Linked DNA regions of Arabidopsis thaliana. The protein of the gene in region 2 interacts with the protein of the main gene of each other region in a pairwise test. Each region holds a gene or a part of one and is shown on either strand. Other genes may lie near its edges.

Region 1 (3,755 bases), 6.6 Mb from region 2:
TTACCATTGTGATCGCCCGATAGCCAGAAGAGCCTTGTCGGGATTAGTGCGAGGATTTTCTTGGTGGACTTTTTGGAACGGCGGCGGATTTGGTCGCCGGAGAAAGAGAAATGAGACGGCGGAGGAGTGAGAGGTGGCAGAGTAGGTAGCTCAGAGGAGGGGTGTTTGGGTGTGCCTGGATGAGATTCCCATTCGAAAGGGACGGCACCGGCGGCTCCGTCGTAGTAGTAGATTCTAAAGGAAGGACAAGCAGCTGATACCGACGAAAAACGTTGTTTGGTCGACGGTAGCTTACCGGAGAAGGTGGCGGTGTCTTGCTTTTTCAGTGAGAGTGAAGCTGCCCGCTCAGATCCCGCGTTTGGCATTATTGTCTTGGGAGAGTGAGAGAGAGAGAGGGAAGGAAAGAGAGGGAGAGATGTGTGCATGAGACATATGGAGTCAATCTATCATGTATATATGGGTGCCTGGTGTCTTTGGTACGGTTTTTACTTTTGGGCTTATTTGTTTGGCTTTGGTGTCTATAGAAACTATATATTAAAAGCAAAATGTAATAATTAATGATAGTGAAATAATAGTTTCAATAGTGCGGTTAATTAGCTCTCATAGTTAGAACTTATAAAGATACATCTCGAAGTGTGTTGGTCCAATCCTACAAAGGCAATAACCACTCGATGGATATATAAAGTCATCACAACTTATTAGACCCTTGAACACTAAGTAATGCTACCGGGTACAAAAGAAAACACTCACATATGAATAATGAGGAGATCTAAATACGTCATACTCAAGGCAAGATATTTGTATCACATGTATATAGCAATTAACGATTCATCCATGAGAATATTTACATTACAAGCCAACATATACATAACTTCAACACAAACATGTCATTGATGAGTAGATTTTATTAAGAAAGGTGTGGTTATTGTAGAAGCATTTATTTGGAGAGTAGATAGGACCATTGATGAAAACAATATGAATTGAATAATTGGTTTTTATCTGATTAAATTGGAAAACAGTGTATGACTAAACGAGCCACGACCCATGCATTCCTACATGTGCTCCACATACCTCCGAGCATTGCTTTCCTTAGTATATACACACTGATAGACCCCATGGTCGGTCCATTCTTTTGCATTAATATCTTTCATGTGATATTCATATACTCGCTCCCCTCATCAGAATTTACATCTCTTCGTTAAAGGTTAAACAAGAAGACATAATTACATTTTCTTCCGTCCATTAAAGAAAAATGAGAGATTTTTTTTTTAAAAAATTGAAGGTCTTTAAAGTATTGAGAACCGTGACCTATTTATAAGGTTTAAAACCAACAACCAAATTTCTCATTTGTTGGGTTGTGAAAGATAATTTGGCGAATATCATACAAATGCGATTAATTACGGTTTAAACATCTCCATTAAGGTATTGACAGTATCAAAATAAGGAGAAGAAAATGGAACAAACAATTTTGTCCAGAGGTGTATAAACTTGGAGTATCATATTCTTATAGCAGATGAAATAAAATACTAGTTAGTTTATTTGTTTGGAAAACAAAATAGGTAATGTGAATATAGATTTTAAAAGTAATTTTGATACTACAGCCCTTTAATTAGATTGAAAATAATAATAATAATAAAGAAAGGACCAATCATATGTTTGACAAAAAAAAGGGCCAATCATATAATTCTGTTACCATGGATCTAAATGAGAGGAGACTCTTGCTTTTTCACAAAAAAAAAGAAAAAGAGAGAGAGAGCAGCAACCCCAGCAGCATCGAAGATCGTCGATCGTCGATCGGTTGCTCTCTTTCATTAATCAGATCTAATTGATACCCAAGCTTCTTCATCGGAGGCCGTGTAAGCTAGCTTCTTCTTCTTCATCTTTTCGTACACTTATTTGATTGTTGTTTATGTATCGATTCTATGGAATAAGAGCTTTTAGCACATATTAATTTGTCCCCAGTCTCGTCGTATATGCAGACCTATTTAGCGCTTATGGTTTGATTTAGATCTGTTTAATTTAGCGTTTCAACCTAAAATTGTTGACAACTCAAAATCGGAATCCCCCAAAAAGTGTCTGTTGACTTATGAATATGGCCATCTCCAAATCGGTTTTTGATCCATCATCATTAAATTTGGTAATATATAGATCTCACGAGGAAACATGGGCGGTAGATTTGGAGTCCTCCTAGTCCTCTTCCTCTTGAGCTGGTCTTGTCATGCTACAAACCCGATTCTTCTCGAACCATTCGGTAAGAACATTTTTGAAGGCATCTAGAGTCTCTCTTGCACCTGTTTCTAATTCAAATTTGTTAAAATCTGTTCACTGGATTATTTGAATACGTTACGTTTTCAGAAAGCATTCAATCTGATATAGACATCCTGATGTATGTTTTTTTTTTTAATTGGGTTTAAGAAGTTTGCTCCATATAATATTTGTGTTGATCTCCTATGTATGATTGTTTCGTTTGCAGAATCAGCTCATGATGACAACCAAGTCTGTGAACTATGTGACAAGTATGTCACGCTAGTCATTGATTACCTTCAAGACTACGACAACCAGAATGAACTCGTTGAGGCCCTTCATATCAGCTGCTCTCAGATTCCTCCTCTCAAAAAACAGGTCTTCATTGAGTCCTTGGTTGTTTTTGCTTTCTCTATTCCTTTTCTCAGACGTGGTTATATGTTAACTATGCCCAACTCATGTGTTTGTTGCAGTGTCTTTCAATGGTAGATCATTACACCCAACTTTTCTTCACACAAGTCTCTACTATCAAATCAGACCAAATCTGCAAACGGCTTAACCTCTGTCAAGCTGTGACACCGGCCTTTGCCTCTCAAGTCCATCAAGGAAACTGCGAGGCTTGCCGCGAGACTGTCTCTGAGGTTGTCACCAAACTCAAGGATCCTGAGACTAAGGTTTGCTCAACCTTCATTCCTTCTATTATCACATACCTATTCTGTGTCGCAAACCTTAGGCTTAGCACTAAGAATTATATCAGTTAGAGATATTTATTATTGCTGCTGAAGATTGACTTTTGCCTTGTGAATGTTGCAGCTGAAGATAATTCGGTTACTTCTCAAGGAATGCAAGTCGCTTAACAATTACCAGGACAAGGTAGCTAACTAATAAAGAATGCCCGCAAAGCTCTCTCTATTTAAGCTGAGTTTTGTGATACTTTTATGGATCATCATCAGATAATAACAATGTGTTTGTTTATGATGGTGAATAGTGCAAGAAGATGGTATTCGAGTACGGGCCTCTGATGCTTACGGATTTGCAGAAGTTTCTGGAGAAGAAAGACGTGTGCACTATCCTCCACGTCTGTCCAGGTCCAGCCACCCACCGTGACTACGTTCCTGCGGTGGAGTCATTGGCAGATTCGTAAATTCGGCCACCTTGGTTTTGTCGTCATTCACACTAATACCATGCCATGATCGTGATGCTAATTTAATTTGGTAACCCGGTGGTCATGTAAATACTGATTGATATATTAAAAACATAACTACACGATTGATGATTCTTGTGTGATTTGAAAAGAACGCTGTCTAAAGGCCCATTGTCCATCGATGGGCCTTTTTGCTAATTTCTACATTGCCCATGTTGTGTAGTCTGATTTTCGCTAAAACGTTACGTTGATGCGTGTACTCAATCACTCGCCCACCATTTTCTTCTGTGAAACAGTTGGCAAAAGTTAGGGGCCGCCAAGCTGGTTTAAACTGACCCACAAGCGAATAAATGTCAGACACGTGTAA
Region 2 (3,755 bases):
TAACGTACCTGAAACGTATCCGCTTGAGATCATTACCACCGCCGGGAAGAGAAACGAAGGTTATGAGAACTCCGGGCTCAACCTGAGCAACCCATTCTTTAGGCTCTTTCTCCTCCACAAACACAATCGGGTCGACCCGGTTTCTCCCACTCGCCGATTTCGGAGTCGCTTCGCCGCTCGAAATCCCTTTTAGTCTCGCTTCCATCTCCTTTCCCCAAACCCTAGGCTGTTGTTGTTGCGTCGCCGCCACCGCCGCCGTAGCTGTAATCGAACTGTTTGATCTTCCGTAAAGCATTTTAAACCGTTGATCCGATTCGAAATCCGACTTTACCGACGACGACGACGGATTGTTCTTGATCGGACCTTGTCCTTGTCCCTGACCTTGTGCCGCCGTACACGGCGTACAATGCCGGTAAGCTCCTGATGCTTTCAGAGCCATATCTTTGAGCTGATATTGAATTGACGAAAATACCCTCAATCAGAAGAGAGAATTACGAAAATTGGAGACGGAGGAGAAGAGTGAGTTTATTTCAATTTACCTGAGATGTTAGAGATTTGGCGTTTTTAGAATCTGGATCGTCTGGTTGACCGGAGGATTCATCGCCTGCTCGCTTCGAACGAGCTATACACGTCAGCATTTTCCGGTGACTGGCTTGGTCTTTGATTTGAGATTTTTTTTCTTTCTCTTTTTGGATACGGAGAGAGAGAGACAGAGATGGTGTCAGTTTCTTCTACTTTGGTTTGGGTTCGGTGCTCTTTTTATGTTTTATTCTCTCTTTTTTTTTATAATTTCTGCTTAAGAAACTTTAAACCGGGATTACCGGTTTCCAATAAAGGTTCCGCGTCTCACTACGGTAATTACGCAATCCGGTGGTTAAAATTTCGAAAGTGAAAAAAGTAAAAAGTTTTGGTCTTGCATAAGGTAAGGTAAATCATTTTTGTTTGTTTACTGATTAGCTAAACTTGTACAGAGGTTAGACTATATACATGATTTTTGGCCTGTGGATTTAGACTTTCAGAGGTATCAAAGGTCGTTCTTCACACTCAAGTAGCCAAGTGTGCTGCAAGATTTGAAGTTAATCGATATGTATGCAAAATTTGACTCTGACTTTTGAGAAACCTAAAACGAAATAATTTATTATGTGTGGTTCTAAGCTAGATCACAATAATAAAAAGTTGTTCTTAGCATTATTCATTAAATGGGTACTGTAGTGTGTTGTTCATAACGCTTCTGATGGCAACTCATTGACATTTAATTTAAGGATAGCAATATGTTCCGTCCGACAATATTTATGTATGTGACGTCTTCGTCTACATTACATTTCAAGTGAATAATGATCCAACGACTCGAAAATATTAATAGTGTAAGTATTTTTGTTGTTGTTGTTGTTGTTGTAAATTTGGTAATGTACTAAACTGAAAATTAAAATGTTTTGGCAAAGGGTGGTGGTCCAAGACTTGTTTAGTTTACAAACAACTCTTCAGTATTTTTCTTTTTTTTCGACCAGCCACTATGGTCTTGTTATCGTTGAGTGTCAATATAACCTTTCTGAAACATTACACTAGGGTCACTAAGATAAATTGGTCTCTTCTCCACTTTTATTATTTCATATACAAATTTGTATGTACCAAGATCTTATCCACAAAATTTCGTTTTTCCCAAAACTATTATAATATTATTAAAGAGGTCAAAATGGTTTGTGCTTGTTTACAATATATTTAAGTTTTTTTTTGCTAAGTTTCTTACAACATTTCAAAATGCATGACAATGATTTTACTTAACTCATTTAAGCAAATAACTTCGCGATACAAACAAAAATCAAGTTACTATTATATAAAAATCAAGATAGAAACTGTAGAATAATCTATATAATTGTTGAGTACAAACTTTACAACTTAGCCGAACTATTGATTAGAGTTCATCGGGAAATGTCATATTTGAGTATTGTTGGTGGACTCGCAAATGAACAATTTAGACCACCAAATAGAGCTACATTTTCTTATGGTGAAGACTCAAAATCGGTTTGGGTTTAGCGCATAGATGGGCTTTAGTTTCGGCCCAGTGAAACTCTGTCTCAATCCTTCTCACCTGTAAACTTAAAAAAAGAAACGAAGAAGCTCTTTTTCTCCCCTCTGAAGAAGAAAAGCAAAATCCACGAGAGAAACAGATAGAAAGTTGCAAAAGTGCGTTCGATTTTTGCTTCTTCTTCTGTTTCGGATTCGGATTTGGATTTGGAATCTGCTCCTTTAGCAGAACCAGAGGAAATGGTGACGTACGTGAGCGCGTTGTTCTACGGATTCGGAGGGATAGTCGTCGCCGGAGTGGCGCTGCTCGTGGCTTTCCAGGAGAAGCTTGTGTACGTCCCAGTGCTTCCGGGTTTAAGCAAGTCTTATCCGATCACTCCCGCTAGGCTCAATCTCATCTACGAAGATATTTGGCTTCAATCATCCGATGGTGTACGTCTCCACGCTTGGTTCATCAAGATGTTCCCTGAATGTCGAGGTCCACACTCTCTTTGATCATTGAGTCTCCTTTCGATTCAGTTTTTTTTTCCTGGTAGATTTGATTTTACATTTTCGAATAAGCTTTTGAATCTACTGAATTTTGAGGGATTTTAGGTCTTGATGTCTCTGTCTTTAGCTAGGTTTTGGATTCCTTTTCTCAGATTTGTGATCCCTAAGTCATTTTAGCTTTAGTTTGGAACTTATCTGTCACCTAAAATCTAGTTGCTTGTGGTTGGTAGCTTTAGCCTAATTCGAAGTCTTTCTAATAGTTTATGTTTGGCATGCAGGTCCAACCATTTTATTTTTCCAGGAGAACGCTGGAAGTATCCTTTCCAGAGCCATTTCTTGGTTTTTGTTTGTTTATATTTGTATGCTCTAAGGAACCTATTTTATGTTCCATGTCTGTTAGCTGGGATACTTTGTCTTGTTACGACCTTGACCTTAGAATCCCAGACATCGCTCATCGTCTGGAGATGGTTCGCATCATGATACAAAAATTGAAGTGCAATGTATTCATGCTTTCATATCGCGGGTTAGTTTCAGTTTGCTGGTTTCTGGTCTATCTCTTATATAAATTGTTTGTTTTTGAGTCTAAACCTTGGATCTGTTTATACAATGCTTATTGATTTTCCCGTGCAACCAGCTATGGGGCAAGTGAAGGCTATCCTTCACAACAAGGTATCATAAAAGATGCTCAGGTTTGCTTGTCTCCCTAAATTTATCCACATATCTCTTCTGTTGCGTCTCCATGTATTCATTATCCATTTTCTTGCCTGATATTTTTTGTTAGGCTGCATTGGATCACCTTTCTGGAAGGACTGACATTGATACATCTAGAATAGTTGTATTTGGAAGGTCCCTTGGGGGAGCTGTTGGAGCTGTGCTTACCAAAAACAATCCAGATAAGGTACTATTAGTACATATTGCTATTGGTAGCATTTCATGAGTAGGGAAAATGTATATTTTATTAGAAGAGAGACAGTATAGGCCAAGTACCAGCCGCCAGCTCTGTGGATGTTACTGTTTAAAGGGAGAAGTATTATTGAGAGTCCCACATGGTTACGAATGAGACTAACAAATGCCTTATAAATTATAACGCCTAAGGGCACCTTCCTCTCTCCTCTAGGGGCTTGGTTTGGATGGCTTCTTATCAGTATATTAATGAGATTCTGGTTACTGTTGCAAATTATTATAACTCATGGTCTTTGGCAGATGACCTGGAGTCCAATTGTATAAAAATTTCTAGAGTA

What was found. Proteins that work in one complex are often made in the same cells at the same time.
Region 1: the proteins of WAV2 (region 2) and AT5G01800 interact in a protein complementation assay, tested with the Arabidopsis thaliana proteins (one large-scale study listed by BioGRID).

What each region holds. Positions count from the first base shown.
Region 1 is NC_003076.8:305,259-309,013, forward strand, and holds the start of AT5G01800 (saposin B domain-containing protein), read left to right. Parts: upstream 1-1,680; 5' UTR 1,681-1,856; intron 1,857-2,148; 5' UTR 2,149-2,163; coding exon 2,164-2,251; intron 2,252-2,473; coding exon 2,474-2,622; intron 2,623-2,717; coding exon 2,718-2,918; intron 2,919-3,057; coding exon 3,058-3,117; intron 3,118-3,232; coding exon 3,233-3,388; 3' UTR 3,389-3,755. Other genes in the region: AT5G01790 (uncharacterized protein), read right to left, coding at 1-425.
Region 2 is NC_003076.8:6,944,826-6,948,580, reverse strand, and holds the start of WAV2 (alpha/beta-Hydrolases superfamily protein), read left to right. Parts: upstream 1-2,066; 5' UTR 2,067-2,265; coding exon 2,266-2,503; intron 2,504-2,792; coding exon 2,793-2,828; intron 2,829-2,958; coding exon 2,959-3,037; intron 3,038-3,148; coding exon 3,149-3,203; intron 3,204-3,295; coding exon 3,296-3,412; intron 3,413-3,755. Other genes in the region: BRXL4 (BREVIS RADIX-like 4), read right to left, coding at 9-448, 540-638. UniProt on the Arabidopsis thaliana protein: Involved in the regulation of root growth. Involved in the suppression of the root bending in response to touch stimuli, gravity and light. Negatively regulates stimulus-induced root bending through inhibition of root tip rotation.